Linked DNA regions of Caenorhabditis elegans. The protein of the gene in region 1 interacts with the protein of each later gene in a pairwise test. Each region holds a gene or a part of one and is shown on either strand. Other genes may lie near its edges.

Region 1 (11,538 bases):
TATATGATTTTCATTCAAAACTGACAATAGTTTTCATTACTTTTTTTTAAATCTCCATGCTGCAAAACGTAAATGATATGAAAATATTTTAGAGCAGAGAACTGAAATTGATCCCCGGGGCTTGATTTGCCATTTACAGATATTTGAAAAAGTTATTGAACATGTCATGTTTTCTGTTATGTTTGTCTGAAAATTCAGTTTTCCTTTAGTGAGAAGACAATAGTTCTATTCTATTTTCTTTCATCTCAATTCCACGACTTCTCCAGTTTCATCTCCTACAGTTTAAATTATGATCGTGCTCTTGATCCCCATCGATATTTAGAAATTGCATTTACTGATAACATTTTCCTGAAACAGTAAAATTAATTTTTTTTTTTTGGTTAGAATCACGTGCTTATATGAAACTTTCTAGCTTCCTGTCTCCATCGTGGAACAGATCAAAACATTCGATTTACAGTAAAATAATTTATTGGATGAGATCAGAAATCACTTGTGATTATTAATATTATTTTCAGTAAATATTGTCAAAATAATATTAGATTATCAAAGAATTGAGGAAGATGGACAGCACGAAAGAAGCAAAGATATGAATACTAAACTGGAGACAGAGAAATTCAAAAAGAGGTAATTGGGGGGACTGTTTTAACATTTAAATAGTGTTTTATGAGGGATAAAATTGATTGTGGTGCTGTTGCATCATTCCCTGTTGGGACATATCCACAAAATGAAGGTTATGCTGATGATTTCCATCGTGTGGATTGTAGTTTGTGATATTATTCTTGAATGCTGGTCCCAATAGAGTTTCTACATCTCCCGACATATCCGAGACTGTTAGGATTTGACCAAGTTCGTCGGACCTGGAAAAAACAGTGGAATTAGCATTGGAGCGCATTTTGTAATTTTTGGAAATTTCTTTATCGAATGTCACTTTAGATGAGATGTCATTAGTTTGATAACGGCCACTGAGAAAGCGACTTCTCGCCGCGTTCGTGGTGTAATGGTCAGCATGGATGCCTTCCAAGCATTCGACGGGGGTTCGATTCCCCCCGAACGCATAAACTTTTTGAACACATCACTCACATCTCCATCATATGATTCTGATGAACCTCCCCGGGTGACCAATCCAATTTGCTTTGAACCGACAACGGTGACGGAGAATCTGCACCAAACATGGACGGTGCATTGGACATTCGTCTGAAATTCCTAAAATAAACCGAATTTCTAAACTTTCCATCTGTAACCTACCCATTTGTTTTTGCAACCATGACAATTTCACTTTGAATATATCCAGTTGGACTGTCACCACCGCCCACGCGATGACGCTCCTCGGACTCGAAGAAACGCAGCATTTCTTCTTTATCGATTGCCGGGTACATGTATCTGAAATTTAGAGGTTTTTATTTCATGTTTCAAAATTTGTAAGTTAAGAGGAACGCTGTTAGTTATGTGTTGCTACCTTAATTAACTCGGTTGAAATAAAAAATTTTTCACTGTTTCAAGAATTTGTGAGAAAAATTGTTGTTTTCTAATTTCAATTTCTATTGGTAGAAACATTTTCACATTTTACATGTCTACAATGTATTTTGAGAGATTACAGCTCAAGTCAATGTTTTGTCAAACCTTAAAAATTGGGTCTCGACTCTAAAATCTGCGACTTCTGGAAAAATTTAAATTTTTCAGAAACATGATTTACAAATAGACAATTTGAAACATTTTTTGTCATTTTTTGAAGAGGCATTGTCCGAATTCTAAGCCATGATCTTATCTCTTTTCAGTGAAACAGAAAAATATTTTCATTTTGCGTTTTTTTTTAATTCGTATTTTTAATAGGCTGGCGGTTATTTTTCAAAGTAAAATAAGAATTATAAACCGTTGCGAGACCTTGTTTTTTTTTCAAAAAAAAACTGAGTGATTCACTAATATTTTTGAATATTAGACTTTGAAAAATGAACAACTTGAAACATGCTTTGGCATTTTTCCAAAATAAATTGCTTTAAATTCATCAGGCTTTCTAAGTAGGCGCTAAGGCCTTGTTGAAGCTGTAGGTAGGCAAGTCGTTCTGCCTACATTGCTGCCTACCATTGTTTCAACTAAGCCGAAAATTTAAATGTAAGTGTTATTATTTCAATTAATTTAATGGCAAAGAAATGAAACACATTCTTCCCCTGGTAGAAGGCACACGTCAGGCGTAGCTTGCCTATAGTCAAACAGTAATTTTCGGCCCAACATAGCAGCCCTTACATCGATTGTATCTAATATTTTCAAACTTTCGACCAGATGTGAGATGTTTACTGATGTTAGAAATTAACCGATAATTTATCAACAACCTGAAACAGCATAATTTTTTTTTAATTCACTAATTTCAAAATTTGACTTTCTTGAAGAATTACACCGTAGGCAGACAGGCTAACTTTTTTGCCTTAGAATTTTTATAAAAACGATTAGTTTTTTGAGTTACTCCGTGCAGTTTTCACAATTTCCGGATTTTATTTTAGTAAAAATTCCACCCAGTTTCAGTTAGTTATTATTCACGAGCGCATGTTTCTGCATTCATTCTATTTTCACACCGTTATTATCCAATTTTAAAAAGTGTCATTTGTAACCCACTTTTGCCTATAACGAGAAAATTCAAAAAATTACAGTTGGAGTAAAAACGGAAAATAGGCGGTAGGCAAGTAGGTAGGCAGGCAGGAGGTGTCCAGTTATAGAAAGTGTTCATGTTAACATTTCATGTACTTTCATGATGTTTACTAATTGGATCCAAAAAATATTTTTAAAAAATATATCAGAAAAATGGGACTGATGTTTTTAATAATTATTCAATGAAACAGTAGAAAAATGAAATATTTGGAAATGAAACTTTTTGTTCAAAACTGCTGTGCTGACAGTTCTTATAATAAATTATTAAAAATCACAGTATCGAGATGGTGATGAGACCTAAAAAGTACGGAGAAAAGTGTATTTAACAATTATACAATTGATGCCATTTTCAATATCGTTCAATGAAAAAAACCATATAAAATTATTTAGTGAAACAATAGAAAAAAAAAAAATTTTTTTAAATTCCTGTATTTTATTTAAATTGGCAATTTTAACTTTCATTTGAATATTTTTGTAAAATGATCACAGTTTCAAAAGATTTAGATCAAATTATAATGATGCATTTGTTGTAATAAGTATTTCGGAATTGCAACATTAACAAAAGAAGGGACAACTTTTATAATTCTTAAGTGAAACAGTTGAAGTTTTTTTTCAAATTTTTGTTAATTTTGTTCAAAATAACTGCTGACATAATTTATATCCACGTTCAGAAATATTATCAAAAGTGCTTCAGCCTGAACGGTGAAATCATAAATCACATAATTTCCAGCCGGGCCGCAGAAAATAGGTGGTAGGTAGGTAAGCACAAGGCAAGAAGGTGTATTTCTTAGTACTGATGTGAATGTGAAAAATGTGAACATTATTTATATATATTTTTCAGGGTGATTCACAAAGATTAGAAATATCAAACGATTGCAATTGAAGCTATTTATGATTATTCAATGAAACAGTAGAAAATTTGAACTTTTTCTCAAATTTTTCCAATTTCTTAACCACATAAAAAATATTTGTTTTGTTTAAATGTGCCAGTTTTCATAGCAAAATTTTGAAATTCAAAGGTTTCAAAACGTGGTAAGACCCGAAAATTGTTGTTATGAAAGAGAATGCAATAAGAATGCAATAACTTCAAACCAAATGATAAAAGTATTTAGTGAAACAGTATAATTTTTTTTCATTTTTTCAATTTTCTTCACACTTATTTTTTACTGTAACTGAACAAACTTAACATCTTGTTAAGTTTTCACTCCTAAAATTAACTTTTATTTACCCTTTTTTTTTATTTGGCACTTCTGACTTTAATTTTAACATTTTTTGTTTAAATTGATCACTGATTGAAAAGAGTTTAATCAAATTATAATAATTAGAAAAGATGAAGGAGTATTTTCTTAACATTAAAAAAAGAAGGAACAACTTATATAATTCTTAAGTGAAACAGTTGAAGTTTTTTTTTTTTTGGACGGTGAGAACATAGATCACATAATTTCCCGCCAGGGCGCAGAAAATAGGCGGTAGGCAGGTACGTAGGCAGGTACGATACTTACGTCCCAGTAATCGCGTGAAAATTCAATTCACTTTCGTGGTTACAGAAATATCAAACTATTGCAATTGAGGCTATTTATGATTCTTCAATGAAAAAGTAGTATTTTTGAACTTTTTATTTTTTGTCCAATTTCTTAACCACATAAAATATTTAGTGAAACAGTATAATTTTTTTCATTTTTCCAATTTTTTTTAAACATTTCCATTTTTGACCGTAACTAAGCATACTTAACAACATGGTAAACTTTTCGCGTCTAAAACTAACCGAATATCCTTCAATTGTGGACATGAAGCAATACGACTTGCCAGTGACAATTGATCCAAATCCTTAATAGTAAAAGGTGCCAAATGAAATGGAATCTTTTGTCCATCAGCCTCTTCACAAACAAAACCAATCGATACAGCACCAGTTTGACTGTCAGAGAATCTCAATAAAAATGAAGAGTGCTGACACATCATCATACTTTGAGACGCATCATTTTTTGAAATAAATCCAATGCACCATCCCTCATCCCAGAATTTGAGCAGTTTTTGTTTGATTAATTGCATTATTGAGAAAAACCATTCCCAAAATGAGAATGGTAAGTCATCTCTCATTGCCTGTTTTGCGAATCGATGAAATGTGATTGGCTTCTGATCTGCCACATTTGGCATTAACATTTTCTCACTTAAATATGCCAAATCTGAATCTGAAAGTGGACGACGTGCTCCCGTGAATAAGGAGAACTTGTTTCGAAGCATTATTGCTAGATTGTCCCATGTCACAGCTGTCACATCAGTTGTATTTGGATTTCTGCTGATTGAGGCGAATGCGCGGTGCCAGAGAATTGCAACTTGCGCGTCACAGTCTTGAGATCCGTGTACTGTAACCATTATTGGAAGAGAAAGTGTCCAAACGTCGAATTGTTCTTCCTGTTAAATTTTAATTGATAGAAATTGGAGGACATATTAAATTTTGAAAATTAAGAGTAGCTGAAACAGTGAAAATTCTCAAGTTTCTTTACACTTTTTTGAATATAGAATTACTGCTTTTACTAATCCAGTTAGAAAATTTCAGTAATTCAAAGTGAAAACCGAAAGAAATGTTGGAAATGTTTGGTTCAACCATTGTTCGTTTATCAGACTCAAATTTTGAAATAAATTTTAAACTTTTTGTTGAAACAGTGAAAAAATAAAAAATAAATGTTTTGCTGTTTCACGTTGTTTTTAAAAGATTTTGCATTTGAGTTTGAGTTACTGACTACGTTCAAAAAAAATCAAGTCATAATTGAAATATCAACAACTTACTTTGCTCAAATTACCCATTTGAAAAGGTGTAATAAAGAATAAAAGAGCATATTTCTGATCAGTAGCTGCCTGCATACTTGCTGCACATTTCAAGTCAGATGCTCCTTTTGGGGGCGGTTTTCTGTGTGCAATTCTTGTCAATTTTGAATTATTGAATTTTGCCGCCAAGTGTCCTCTTTCATTCATTGTGAGCTTCTCGAAATCATTGGAAATTGTGCCAACTGTCTTGTTGTTACGGCTGAAAAATATTAGTGTTGAATATAGTGATACAACTACAAATTAACCACAAAAAATAAGAAAAGTATATAAAAATAATACGAAAAAGTATAAGTTTTAGAAAAAAAAATTTTCTCAATTTTTCAAAAATTTACTGTTTCAAATTTTTCATTAAAAAAAACTCACATTTCCTTATGTGCATCATAGTCAACACTCAACTGCTTGGCTTCATCTTCTGCTATAATTTTCACTGAAACATTTGTGTTCACCAGGTGTTGACGAATTCCCAGCTTATCGCCAATGAGAAGACGGACCTGGAAATTTTAGTTTTTTTTTGTAATTTTATTGAAAAATCAGGATTCTGAAATTGCTGCGTCCCACAGCGGAAACTACAGTAACCCGTAAAATTAGGTGGGGTGGAACTGTAGTTTTTGTGGTGGGACCCAGAAATTTTCAAGCTGAACAAATGCGTGGCACACATTATATTCGAATTGAACTTCTTAAATAAAATTGTTGAGTATGACTTACATATTTATTTGAATGACTTTTGAAACGGTAAAGTTTTAATTAAAATTTTTGAATTTTTTTTTATTGTTTCTTATAATTTGCTTGAATTCTAACTAAGTTGGGTCTCGTCACGACGGTGTGGTTTTCGCGGCGGGACCCACCAAAATTTGACATGTATAATTTCCATTAAAAAACAAACCTCAGTGACAAATTTATGTTGAGTCTTCAAAACAGGTTCCGGTTGAACGGAAACAATAAAACTCTGTGAAACCAGCATAAAAAGTAATTTGTTCAATTGTTCTGTAATTGCAGTCAACTTTCCAATTGTTGCCTGAGCGAGCCCATCATTTAACTGTGGAGCACGTCGGAGCAAGTCGAGCATCCAACACGAGAACATGTTAAGCTGCCAGTTTTGATCAGCGAGAAATTCGAATTCAATTTGAATTTCATCAAGCAGCTGTTCGCGATTATCGAAAGGCATTCCGATTTGGGCAAGTTTTTGGGCATTTTTCCAGGAGAACAGCTTTTCGCCAATTAGTTGGGTCTGGAAATGAAGATTGATTAAAATATTGCAACGCATAGAAAATTTGATTAAACTGTGAAACAGTATTTTTTTAAAAATATTTCTCTTTAAAAAAAATTGTCAAATTTTATGCAAAATCAATGTAAAAGGAAAAAAAAGATTAAATTTGATAAAAGTGTGAAACTGTAAATATTATAACTAACTTTTTTTCAGATAAGAGAGCTAGATTGCAGGCCAGTTTTAAAGTATGACATTTTCGCGCGTTCAATATATGAAATGCATGGGAAACATTAAATTTTTAATTAATTTTTGTATTTCAGTTCATTTTTGATGTAATTTCATATTAAAAGATTTCTTAATGCTTTTTTTAAACAAAACATTCACTTGAAACATTAAAAGAATAAAAATATTTTTAGCATGAATTTACTGAACATGCAAAATTCTTCAAAATTTGAAGGATTTTTCAAAAAAGTAAATCTTGTATTAGAGTTTTTTAATGGAAATGGTCTTCGACAGTCAAGTAAAGTAAAAAATTTTAATTCATATTTCACAAAACTTTGAAACAGTAAAATTTTTTTTATGTTTTTTTCATATTTTTTCACATTAGAAGAACCAACCTGTAGCATCGTCGCAAAATTGGTGCCATCATTAAGTTTAATGACAATATCATTTCTTTTCTGTGTCAAATGCTCATAAAGTGTGGCTGCTCTTTTCTGTAACTCTGTCATTTGCTGTTTCACAGTGAATACATTTTCTAGTCTCTGTTGCTGTTCCAGCTGTGCAATGACCATTTGCAGACGTTGAAGCTCGCCGAGTTCATTCACAAATCTGCCTTGGAGGTCCTTATTCTCTTCCCACAAGTGATGGCAGGTCTTTGAGACGTCGGTTAGAGCTGTTTGAAGCTCTTGCGACGATGAGCCCATCATGTCTGGAAATTTCAGATTTTTAATGAAGGGAATGGGAAGACAAGGAGGTAATAAAAAGGAAACGTTTTCAAAGAAAAATTTGTGAAAAAAAATTGGTTAAAAATTTTTTTACAGTTTCAAGAATTTTATTTCATTTTCAGTGTATTTTCAGAATCGACGTATACTTTAAAAAATTTTTTACTGTTTCAAATAAGTGATTAAATTTTGAAAGATTTTGTTAATTTCAATTTGATTTTTCACTGTTTCTGAAAACTTTCAATGTAGCATATTCGCTTGACAAAACATATTCATTTTCATCAATAATTATGAAAAAAAAAAAGAAAATATGTACGTGCAATGCAAGAAAAAATTGCGAAAACTTTCAATTTGTGCGAGTTGTTGAAAGAGCCGTGGCTCTGCACAAGAACTCGAAGGAAAAAACTAATGAGAAGTTGTTGGCTCAAAAAAGCGGAAAATGGGCAAGAGATGCAGAGAGCAGAAACACTTGGAAATGTATAAGAGCTCCAGGAGCACACACACACACGGGAGAGAGTATCAAAGAGAGCACAGAGACGCAGACAGTGTTACACACCGCTAGACGCAGAGACTTGTGTGTTTTCACACCACTTTTCCCCTGTCTCAGCTGATATCTGTGATGATTGGGGGGACGGAAAAAAATGGAGATATTATTGAGGGATTAGAGAAAAATATGTTTTTTTTTTCAAAAAAAAAATCGTTCAAATTAATTTTGAAACAGTAGTGGTTTTTTCAAGTTATTATAAAATGAGCTGAACATGAACATTTAAGGTTCTACTTGTATTACCCAACCGTGAAATTTTGCGCGAAAATTACTGTATCGGGTCTCGACGCGACAAATTACTGTTCAAATGTTCTAAAAATGTTCGAAAGTATGTATGTTTTTGTGGTTTTTATTCAAATATTTTTTATTGGAAAACAATTTGAAAAATCTGGAAAATTTTCAAATTTTGGGTGAACGACGATTTGACGGAAATTTTGGAAAATTTTAACATTTTTCCACTGTTTCAAGTTGTCTTTAAAAATACCAACATTTTATTTATACGTTGCTAGATTTATTCCAGTTTTTTATTCTGAGTGTATGAAGTTCTATTATTATTTCTCACTACTGTTCTAGCATTTTGAGGATTATAAAATGTGGTGTTGAAACCGAAAATTTAGTTTTTTTTAATTTTTTTTCGGCCAAGCTGAAATAATTTTGCGTGTTTTAAAATTGGCTTAGAGTCTGGAAATTTTATAACAATCTGACAAGTAATCTGAATATACCGGGAAAAAGAAATTGAAAAAAAAATTATACTGGGGCTATTTCTATATGGAACCTTAAAGATTTCAAACTTGAGAAGAAAACAATACTGTTTCAGATTACTGATATTGTCTGAATGTATAAAATGGGGTAATACAGTGTTGAAAATGAAGGTAGTATAATATTTTAGAAAACATATATATTGTTTCAGATTGCTTACATATGAATCGAATAATGTTTCTCAATATTTAAATTTTTTTCAAGTTTAATGCTGCTATTGTCGGAAAGCAAAAATTGTCAAACATTACTTCGAAGTTCGATTTCACTAGTTAGTGAGCTGAAGTTTCGTTTTTTGTTCAAACTAGGTAATTAATAGAGCTTATAAGACTTACAAGTTCAAATTTTTAGAAAAAATGTATCTTGTTTCAGATAAGTCAAGTATCAATGGCAATTTTTAATTGAAATAACACAAAAGGCACAGCAAAATTTACAGAAAGTTGGATGAAAAGTTTACTGTTTCAGGTTACTCATATTCAATATGGAAAATGAATTGTTATCGATTATCCTTCTGTATTACATCCTAATAAGGGTCATTTACAGTTAGATATAAATTGAAATTTTTCTATCAATTATTTCGTTTTACAGAGCATTCCAACTTGGAAAATGTGCTTATGTTTCATGGTCATGAGAAATAAAAAATTTACTGTTTCTAACTGGTTTTTAATATTTTCAAATTGTTTTTTTTTTTGCTTTAAATTAATACAGAATCTTTACTCGTTTTAAATTAGCGAAATTTTGACTGTTTCAACAAGTTATTAAATTTTAAACTCGTTTTGCATATTTTGATCGGGTTATTGATTTACCACTATCGACAAATAGATTCTGATACTAAAATCAGGAATTTCAGAGAGAATTCCCAGCTAACAATTAGTGGAGGACAGAAATGCAGTTTTCATTTTCAGATTGACTTTTCTCTTACTAAAGTGTTAAAACTTTAAGTTTTAGAAAATTGGACAAAAAAAATTGACTGTTTCAGATTGTTAATGTTAATCGAATAAATTCTCGGCCGTGCTGTGACTTCTTTTCATGTTAAGAATTCATTTTTCAATTTTGTAACACTTCGAAGAAGTATTTTGTTTCAAATTAGAAACATATAAATTGGTATTCCAAAGACATAAATTTACGTTTTTCGGTGGCTAATAGTAAGACAGGCTGGGATGTGTCCTAATATCACGTTTTCAAAATATGGAAATTCATGGAATACGTGAAACAGTACATTTTTTGTTCAGTAAACTAAAATTTTAAATTCGGCAAAGAAATTCCATGTAGGCGTCAAAACGTCTGCCTGCCTGACCTTAAGGTGGCCTACGCCTGCCTCTTGCCTCAACCTGCACCTTATGCTGAAACATATGAAAACTCTTTTTTTTTTAATTTCTTAATTTGATTTTCAAAAAAATTGAATCAAACCAAAACGCATGAAATAGGTAAAAGGCCGGCGTTAGGCGAGCAGGTTTCAGGCAGGCACTGAAACTGCGCCTGCCTGGAAGCCCTGACGTACACGTAGAAAAAGGCAAGTGAATCATCTCGAACCTCGATTTTTTTCTGAGTTTTTGAAAAATCAGCTAATGTTTCAAGGTCCTGAGAAAATACATGGGGTTTAGTAATTTTTCGTTTTTTTCTGCAGCAAAGAATCACAAGAATCATGTTTTTTATTTTTTGTGAAAATTCGAAATTTTTTACTGTTTCTAAATAGCATTCTATATTTTTAAAATTTGCTTCAAATTAATAAGAACTGGCTTCTGTGTGGAATTTAACAATATACAATTTGTGGAAGTAATTGTAAATTTTTACGGTTTCAGCAAGTTTTCATAAATGAAACTCGTTTTACATATTTTGATACTTGACGGGACCAATTAAACTACAGGTATGCCTTCCAGCCTCTATATTGGCTGAATTTTGGGCCTAAAGGCAGGCAGTAGGCAGTCTTTTTGCTTTAATAAAATTCAAAAAATGAGCTCATGTTTCAGGGTCATCAGAAAATATAGACGAGAATTCGGAATTTTTATTAAAACGTACGGAAAAAATTATCTGGAAAATAAATCCGAAAGCTATTGAAAAATTTTCACTGTTTCTACACAGTAGTTTCTATTTTGGAATTTTTCTTCAAATTAATTAAGTGTTCATTTGATGCACTATAAAATTCTTAAAATAACAAAATGTTTACTGTTTCAACACGTTTTTAATTTTCAAACACGTTTGGCAATTTTAATAAGTTCTTCTTCGGGGTAAAAGAATTCACCGTTAAAAAAAAATGCTCAGACCCCGAAAGTTTCGGTTTCAAAAAAAAATTTAAAAATATCGAGAAATTTTTTTTTTCGAAAGTAAAAATAATTTGACAATTTCCTTGGTTGGCACGCAAACAGGCGTTCTGTGCCCACAGCAGCAAAACTTCATTGTTCACTGTGAAAATCCAAAATTTTAGCTGTTTCAATGTAGTATTCTATATTTTCAAAATTTGCTTCAAATTAATTACACTGCTGTTGTAAAACTTGTTCGAGACATCAAATTTCTATATCTAATAGTTTGAAAAATGAAAACATTTATGAAAGGAATTTCAAATTTTTACGGTTTCAACAAGTTTTCATAAATGAAACTCGTTTTACATATTTTGATACTTGACC
Region 2 (6,955 bases), on another chromosome or scaffold:
ATATAGTTTTAATTGTGGGGATTGTCATCCTATAGATAACTGATAACCTTTTCATTGAAAAATGCCTTAAAACTGTTCGATTTCTTTTATAAAACTGTGCTTTTTAGAAGTATGTTGCCAAAAGATTCAAACATGATCAAAATTTATAATTTTTATTAAATTTTATGTTGTTGTGAATAATCAATACATTCAAAACTGTTTTTCAAGTTTGCCTTGCATGGCGTTGGAGGAAGGCAGAATTGGTGGGAAATGTCATGAAAATTGTTTGCCTAGAAAGAAATAAGTGTAAAAAACAATGGGAAAATACATAAAACAAACAAATAGAAAAAGAGAAAATTTAAATTTATATAAGAAGAAGATCCTAGGAATTCGATAGTTTTTGGTAGATAAAAAATAAAAGTCAGAAAAAAAATTATTCAAAGGGCAAGAATTGGGGTAATGGGAATATATATGTAGAAGTGAAACAGGGAAGAACTGACAAATAACGAGGATAGTTAATAAATACTCCTAGAAAATGTTACTCGTCGACGATTTTCGTCCCGTAAAATGTACCTGTTTCCATACCAACTTGTTCTACAGCTTCAAGAATCTGAAAGTAGTTGGTAATTTTATAGAACTCTCACACTCAAAACTCACATAATCAAGATGCTCTTTCGTGTGATCGGCACTCAAACAGAACCGAACACGTGCTTCCAAAAGTGGAGTTGCCGGATATCCAACGGCAACAATTCCAATATTATGTTTCAACATTCTTCGCGAAAATTCACTAAAATTAAACATTGGGTGAAGAGACTCAAAACAAAATTAAATTAAAAAAGAACTTACACAACTTTTGTAATATAAAACGTCATTAATGGAACAACTGGACTATCATTGTTTCCATACACCAAAAATCCTCGTTTACGAAGCTCTTTTCTGAAGTATCGAGAATTTTCGAGTAGTTGAATTGCTTTCTGTCGGCCAATATCTGTACCATCTTTTCCAGACATGATCTGAAATTACAAAAAGTTATGATGAAAAGTAGGAAGTCACAATTTTTGAACTATTTTTTTCCGAGAATTTCTCAAGAAAGGTTGCCAAAATTGATATTTTCATATAGGTTATAACATACCAAAACTGCTCTCTCGACTTGAGCAATAAGTGGTGGAGACATTGTAACTCCGTAGCAAGTTCCAGCAGAGTATCGACGAATGTGATCGATGACTTTCTGAAATATTAATAAATAAATAAAAAACAATTTTTATACTTTTATGGAGTTTCTGCGCGATTGATGTCGGGTACGCTATAAAAAAACTTTTCAAACGTTTGGAAAAGTTTGAAGAACTTTTTTAACACGTTTCCTTATTGGAACAAGCTCGTAATTTTTCAAAACTGTCAATTACAAACCTTTGATCCTCCCATATATCCTCCAGCCGATGCAAATGATTTCGTGAGAGTACCCATCATAATATCAATATCTCTTGGATTGCATCCCCAATACTCGGCAACTCCTCTTCCACTAGGCCCTACGGCGCCGATACTGTGTGCTTCATCAAGGAACAGATAACAATTGTACTTCTTTTTGACAGCAATGAATGCTGGCAAGTTGACAATTGTTCCTTCCATACTAAAACAGAAATAGTTAAGATTTTTAACTAAGTAGTTGCAAACCTATAAATGCCTTCAATAATAATGAGCACTTTATTGTATTTTTCCCCAGTTTTTGGGCTAACTCCACACAACGCGTCCCGCAGTTTTCGTTCACAATCACTCGCATCGTTGTGACGAAAAACCACTGTATGTGCTCCGGAGAGTCTGCATCCAGTAACCAATGAAGCATGATTAAGGCGATCAGAAAGAATCAACGATCCTTTATCAACAAGTGATGGAATATTCATTGAGTTCGTGGCAAATCCCATCGGGAAAACAATCGCATCTTCGACGTTCAGATATTGGGCAATTGTACTTTCAACTGATTTGTGTGCAACGTGGTTACCTGGAATGTGAAAGATGTTTAGACAACGGTAATCAGTATTTATCGGAGCAATTTCAGCGAAATAAATACAATTTTAAAAATTTACCAATTTCCTGTCGAGATCCACCACAATTAATTCCATACTTGTCAATATGAGCAGCAGCTGCCTCGGCACATACTCCAGATCGATGCGAGAAGCCGAGATAATTGTAAGATCCTAGGTTGATCACTTCTGATTCAGTACCCGTGTATCTGGAAATTTTTATTAGCAGTTATATACTTCTTCAGTACTAAAATGCAATCAGAATTTGTGTGTCTGTGTTTATACTGCAAACTTTTTGATTTGAAGCTCCGCCAATTGGTAACAATTTTAAAAAATCAGAAAGACATTATTTCACAAAATTGTTCTCATTTTAAGATTTGGTGTGACTGTTTTAATCTTGCAATCAGATAAAATTGAACTTTTTCTTACTGTCTCACATTTTATATTTTTCGAAAATTGGTGTCTTTTCCAATTTTTAAATTCGAAAATTTACGACCAAAAAATGTATTCCAACTGTGATGCACGTTCAATTACTAACTTTTGTGTCCATCCATGATCGTCAGTATATCTATCTTTCAGTCTAACAATTGCTCCAGGAACTCCACTAATTGGCCGATTAACAACATCCGTCGATTGTCGATAGATATGATCTGTGTACGTGGCATCGAAACTGTTTCCAAGTGGTTGAAAGCTCTAAAAAGGTTTATATAATGAATCAGACTGTGACTGATAACATTTTATGTGCATTTTCGCAACCACTTTGATGATTTCCGCATTCTTATGACCTTATCAATTGTGCAGACCGGAAGGCAAAGACCAACACTAACGCAGAATTTTTTGTTTCAAACCAGAAAAAATCGATATACAAACCTCCATTCTGGGGTCTCCTTTTGATCGTTTTGTCTTCACAATTCCCCATTTATCGAATAAAGTGGCAACCATTGCTCCTACAAGCATCATTGTAATATTCAATTGGACAAGCCAAAATACGTAGAACGCTGGCTTTGGACATGGATCCAACTTGATGACTTTTTCCGTAATGTTTCCGTTTTTTGCCCTAAAAAAATATTTGCTATAAACTTTTGAAAATTGGGAAAACTCACTTTCCATTTGCCACGGCTTTCCCATTTTGGGTTCCACCCATGTTGTAGAACCTGAAATATCAAACAGTGAGCACTTATAATAGAAAATATTTAAAAAAAAAGAGTAAATTACACGAAACACGAAGACATTTTTTGTGCAAATCAATTGTATTTAGAGAGAAGACACCCAAAGAGACACAAAGAAATATAGACACCATTTGTTTTATTGATCGGACACCACGTTCCGGGGCCACGAAGTAATAATATTCAGTTAATCAAAATTTTCTGGTCGAAAAATTATTTAAAAAATAACGTGAGAATTTATATTAAAACAGTAATAAAATAAGTATATCGATTTATTTTGTTTCGTTGCTCACAAAAAATCATTAAATTTTTTTAATGTTTGATTTAGGTTTTTTCTCGCCAAATTTTGGAAAAATAAGATTATCACACCATCAAACACTCTAACATGCAATAACCCCCTTCCGTGGGTCAAAAAACTGCAGAATTGCGGTAGAGCGCACTTTCCCGGGATTTTGCAAGGCGGGATTGAAGGGAGGGCCGCAACACGAAAGGGACACCAAGGGTTAGAATAAGAGAGATGATATTTATCAATCAAAGTAATCAGTGATAAAGGAGAAAAAAGTGGTGGCCGGGTAAGAAGCGCAAAGTACAACGAGAAGAGGGAAACGTATTCTTGGTGGCTACAATGACGAGACGGAGAACAGAGTAGAGAAAACAGAAAATATGGCATGATTCATGTTCACGTGTATCGACTGTTGCTATTCTGATGTCATATTACACATTTTTACATGCAACTGAAACTGCAAACTGTTTAATTTATTATTAACACAAACATTCCTTTTTATGATTTCGTAGGTAGGACGCTAAGAACTTTTTTCCAAAAACAAAAGAAGATGAACTGTTAAAGTTGATAATTCCTATTATCAGTTCTCGATTCAACAAGACAGTGATAAAAAGCAATCTGCAGTGAAATTTCCTGCTGCTCATAAACCTTTGTTCTTTTTGATTGACAGGTAATGCAAAATTCCATACGAAAAAAAAAAACACACACACACACTTCTGCTTCCAACGAAAAAATTCATTATAGCCACAAACTGATATCAAGAACAATTTCACATTTTTGAATTCCTCCGATATATTCACGTACAATATGAAGAAAATGAGGTTGCAATGGGAATTTCAGGACAAAAAACCAGTTGTCTGTTTTTTCACACAACCAAGTTTACAGCATTAAACAAGAAAATTTGAAAAAATCCATAATATACATAAATTGAATACCCAGATATGATGCATAGGCAGGCATATTTTTACATGTATTTTAATACTAGGTAAGCGTGTAGGAACAAGGCAAACATATATTACTTTCAGGGTAGCCGGATAAAAATCATCATTAAGCAGAGCATCTCAATAATCATACAAAACCAAAGAAAAGGGCAAAAATAACCACAGTGACACTCATGAAAATTTTGGCATATGATAACTCAAATAAAAACGTATAACTCTTATGCATTTAGTTTGGTCACTGAAAGACATTCGGCAAATTAAATGACTTATCAGTAGATTATGTCTATAAATGCATTTCCACGAAATTGAATGAAAATCAGCGTTATCATAACTGAAATAGTTAGTTTAACTTGAAACAAATGTGTGAAAAAAATTCAACAAAAACTATTATCCGCAGAATTTATCACAGTTTATTATTAATACAGTTATTATTGTTGAATGTTGAAACATCTGATAAACAAGTGGGGTGATTGAGTTCTTTATCAAAGTTCATAGATCTACCACCCTTCAACGGCATGTTGTCATGGAAAATAACTATTATCAGAAAAATAAAAACATGTTAAATTAATAATAAAAAGTCTTCATGATGAGTTATTTTTTCAACTTTAACAACATCATTGAAAGCTGATTGCATAAAATAAAAAATCTAGTTCCCAAAAAATGCTCAGGCTCACAAAGCAACGACACCATCTCTTTTTTAAACTTTTGTGAAACATTTGATACTACTCGTAGTACGATTTTTATTTTTAGAGCAAAAAATACTTTGTCATGTTAAGGAAGCAGCTGAAATTAATCAAGGTCTGCGATCAAAAATTTATTGATTGAAAAAAATCAATTTGAGACTTGTAATTTTTATTAATATCAATGAAACTTCTATTTAACAAATTTGTTATCCCTTATAGATTATTCTTTGACAAACTCTCTACGACAAATGACGCTCCCAGATTGATACGTTTGCAACAGTTTTCCGTTTTCGAGCCAAGTTGTGAAAACAGAGCTGTGGTGGTTTTCTTTTATTTTGTCTTGATGGCTGATAAACTTTCCATTTTCGAATGTAACCAAAGTGTTGTAGGATCGCTCATCCGGAGCAATTTCAACAAATTTCTGCAACGGAATCTACATTAAAAACCGACAAAACAACATTTTATAATCATAAAACTAAATTTACCTCTCTAATTTTGAAAGCGAGCTTGTTGTTTTTAAACGTGGAGTATTGATTGAAATGCCAAGTGTCACCATCTAGTTTAATTTCCAATGTCGGACTTGTTAAAGATGCAGCTTTACGAATAAGAAGACCAACTCCGATTTCTTTCAGGTATTCTTCAAAGTTTTCCGAATGGACTAGTTTCCATCGTCCAATAAACTCTTTCATGGAAACCATAAGGAAGGACTGAATTAATTGAGTTGTTAATTCTGAACTTCTCAGGGTGGCTTAAATAGCTTCTATTTATCAATTACAGTGACATTATCTGTAGCAAAATGCGATGATTTTGTAAGGAAAGAGCACAGGTCAGACATAAAACACAAACAGTGATCAAAAGTGGAAGACAACTGCAAATTTTGGTTAATAATGTCATAAACCAGCAAAAACATTTCAGTTAAAAACCTGAAGATTTGAGCATAGAAGTGTAATTTAACAAGATAAAATGGTAATTTTATAATTTAAAGTTTAATTTTGATTTGAATATTCGAAAACGTAGATGAGTTACCCTACCTTCCACAATTAACAAACAATAAAAACATTGTTGAAATTACATTTCCAGCAAAAATTTTCAGTTTTAAAATCTTGTTATTTAATTGGTCTCACTCGCTTTTTTAAAATTTCCTACAAAATCAACATTAATATTCACAAGGTTTATTGAATATGAAAATCAACAGAGTTTGGCTTCTTTGCAAGTTTTATCCTCTGGAATCTCTTGATCAATAGCTTCCCAGATGTCATGCTCAGCCACTTTCAACTCCTTAAAGCACTCCGACGCTAACACTCCAAAATCTTTGCAGCGGGATCCGATTTCCTCATCAAGCCAGACATCGAGAGCAACATCTCCAGCTTCCTTGCCATCCTGAAAACAGAATATATATTTTTCTAACTGAAAGTTGCGACTCACCTTAATGAGGTCCTCGCATAGATGACAAAATGCTCCGTGAGATTTCTTGAGTACCAGTGGTGAAGCTGGCTGCGCAAGTGAGATTGCGGGCACAACCATTAGAAGTACAACAACTGTTTTACTAAACATTATGAGTGCAGTGAAAATAAGTATTTAGGAAAATTTTTATACGAATGCAAGTTCCGTAATGATAAGAGAGTGATCCGGGGGAGATGGAGTCTAAGTAGGCTACAACCATCCAGGACATCATATATTGACTGTTTCAACGTCCAGAATATTTTTTTTAATGTTACCATGTTTCTGTAACCTGTTTTTGTAGGCTCCATGATGTCATAGGGTTTTTTTCACACAACTATAAAAAACAAGAAAACAATTATCCATTTGACAATAAATTTGTTTAAATCTAGAATTTTTATTTTAAATTGGGAATTTAAATTTACAAAGAGATCAGAAAATGAGA

What was found. Proteins that work in one complex are often made in the same cells at the same time.
Region 2: the proteins of sta-1 (region 1) and sptl-3 interact in a two-hybrid assay, tested with the Caenorhabditis elegans proteins (one large-scale study listed by BioGRID).

Annotation. Positions count from the first base shown.
Region 1 is NC_003282.8:16,660,383-16,671,920, reverse strand, and holds sta-1 (Signal transducer and activator of transcription 1), read right to left. Parts: upstream 7,602-11,538; 5' UTR 7,600-7,601; coding exon 7,291-7,599; intron 7,195-7,290; exon of another isoform or gene 7,174-7,194; intron 6,919-7,173; exon of another isoform or gene 6,898-6,918; intron 6,815-6,897; exon of another isoform or gene 6,794-6,814; intron 6,712-6,793; exon of another isoform or gene 6,695-6,711; coding exon 6,350-6,694; intron 6,337-6,349; exon of another isoform or gene 6,316-6,336; intron 6,154-6,315; exon of another isoform or gene 6,133-6,153; intron 5,958-6,132; coding exon 5,830-5,957; intron 5,707-5,829; exon of another isoform or gene 5,686-5,706; intron 5,666-5,685; coding exon 5,428-5,665; intron 5,400-5,427; exon of another isoform or gene 5,379-5,399; intron 5,260-5,378; exon of another isoform or gene 5,239-5,259; intron 5,053-5,238; coding exon 4,406-5,052; coding exon of another isoform or gene 4,369-4,405; intron 4,259-4,368; exon of another isoform or gene 4,238-4,258; intron 4,193-4,237; exon of another isoform or gene 4,172-4,192; intron 3,991-4,171; exon of another isoform or gene 3,970-3,990; intron 3,933-3,969; exon of another isoform or gene 3,912-3,932; intron 3,717-3,911; exon of another isoform or gene 3,695-3,716; intron 3,507-3,694; and 27 more. UniProt on the Caenorhabditis elegans protein: Carries out a dual function: signal transduction and activation of transcription. Activated STAT proteins play a role in repression of dauer formation.
Region 2 is NC_003283.11:13,889,599-13,896,553, reverse strand, and holds sptl-3 (Serine palmitoyltransferase 3), read right to left. Parts: upstream 3,230-6,955; coding exon 3,213-3,229; intron 3,152-3,212; coding exon 3,101-3,151; intron 3,055-3,100; coding exon 2,868-3,054; intron 2,691-2,867; coding exon 2,536-2,690; intron 2,207-2,535; coding exon 2,061-2,206; intron 1,976-2,060; coding exon 1,651-1,975; intron 1,607-1,650; coding exon 1,387-1,606; intron 1,208-1,386; coding exon 1,112-1,207; intron 993-1,111; coding exon 826-992; intron 767-825; coding exon 637-766; intron 590-636; coding exon 518-589; downstream 1-517. Other genes in the region: lbp-8 (Fatty acid-binding protein homolog 8), read right to left, coding at 5,291-5,491, 5,556-5,768; spp-12 (Saposin B-type domain-containing protein), read right to left, coding at 6,259-6,450, 6,496-6,624. UniProt on the Caenorhabditis elegans protein: Component of the serine palmitoyltransferase (SPT) that catalyzes the first committed step in sphingolipid biosynthesis, which is the condensation of an acyl-CoA species and L-serine.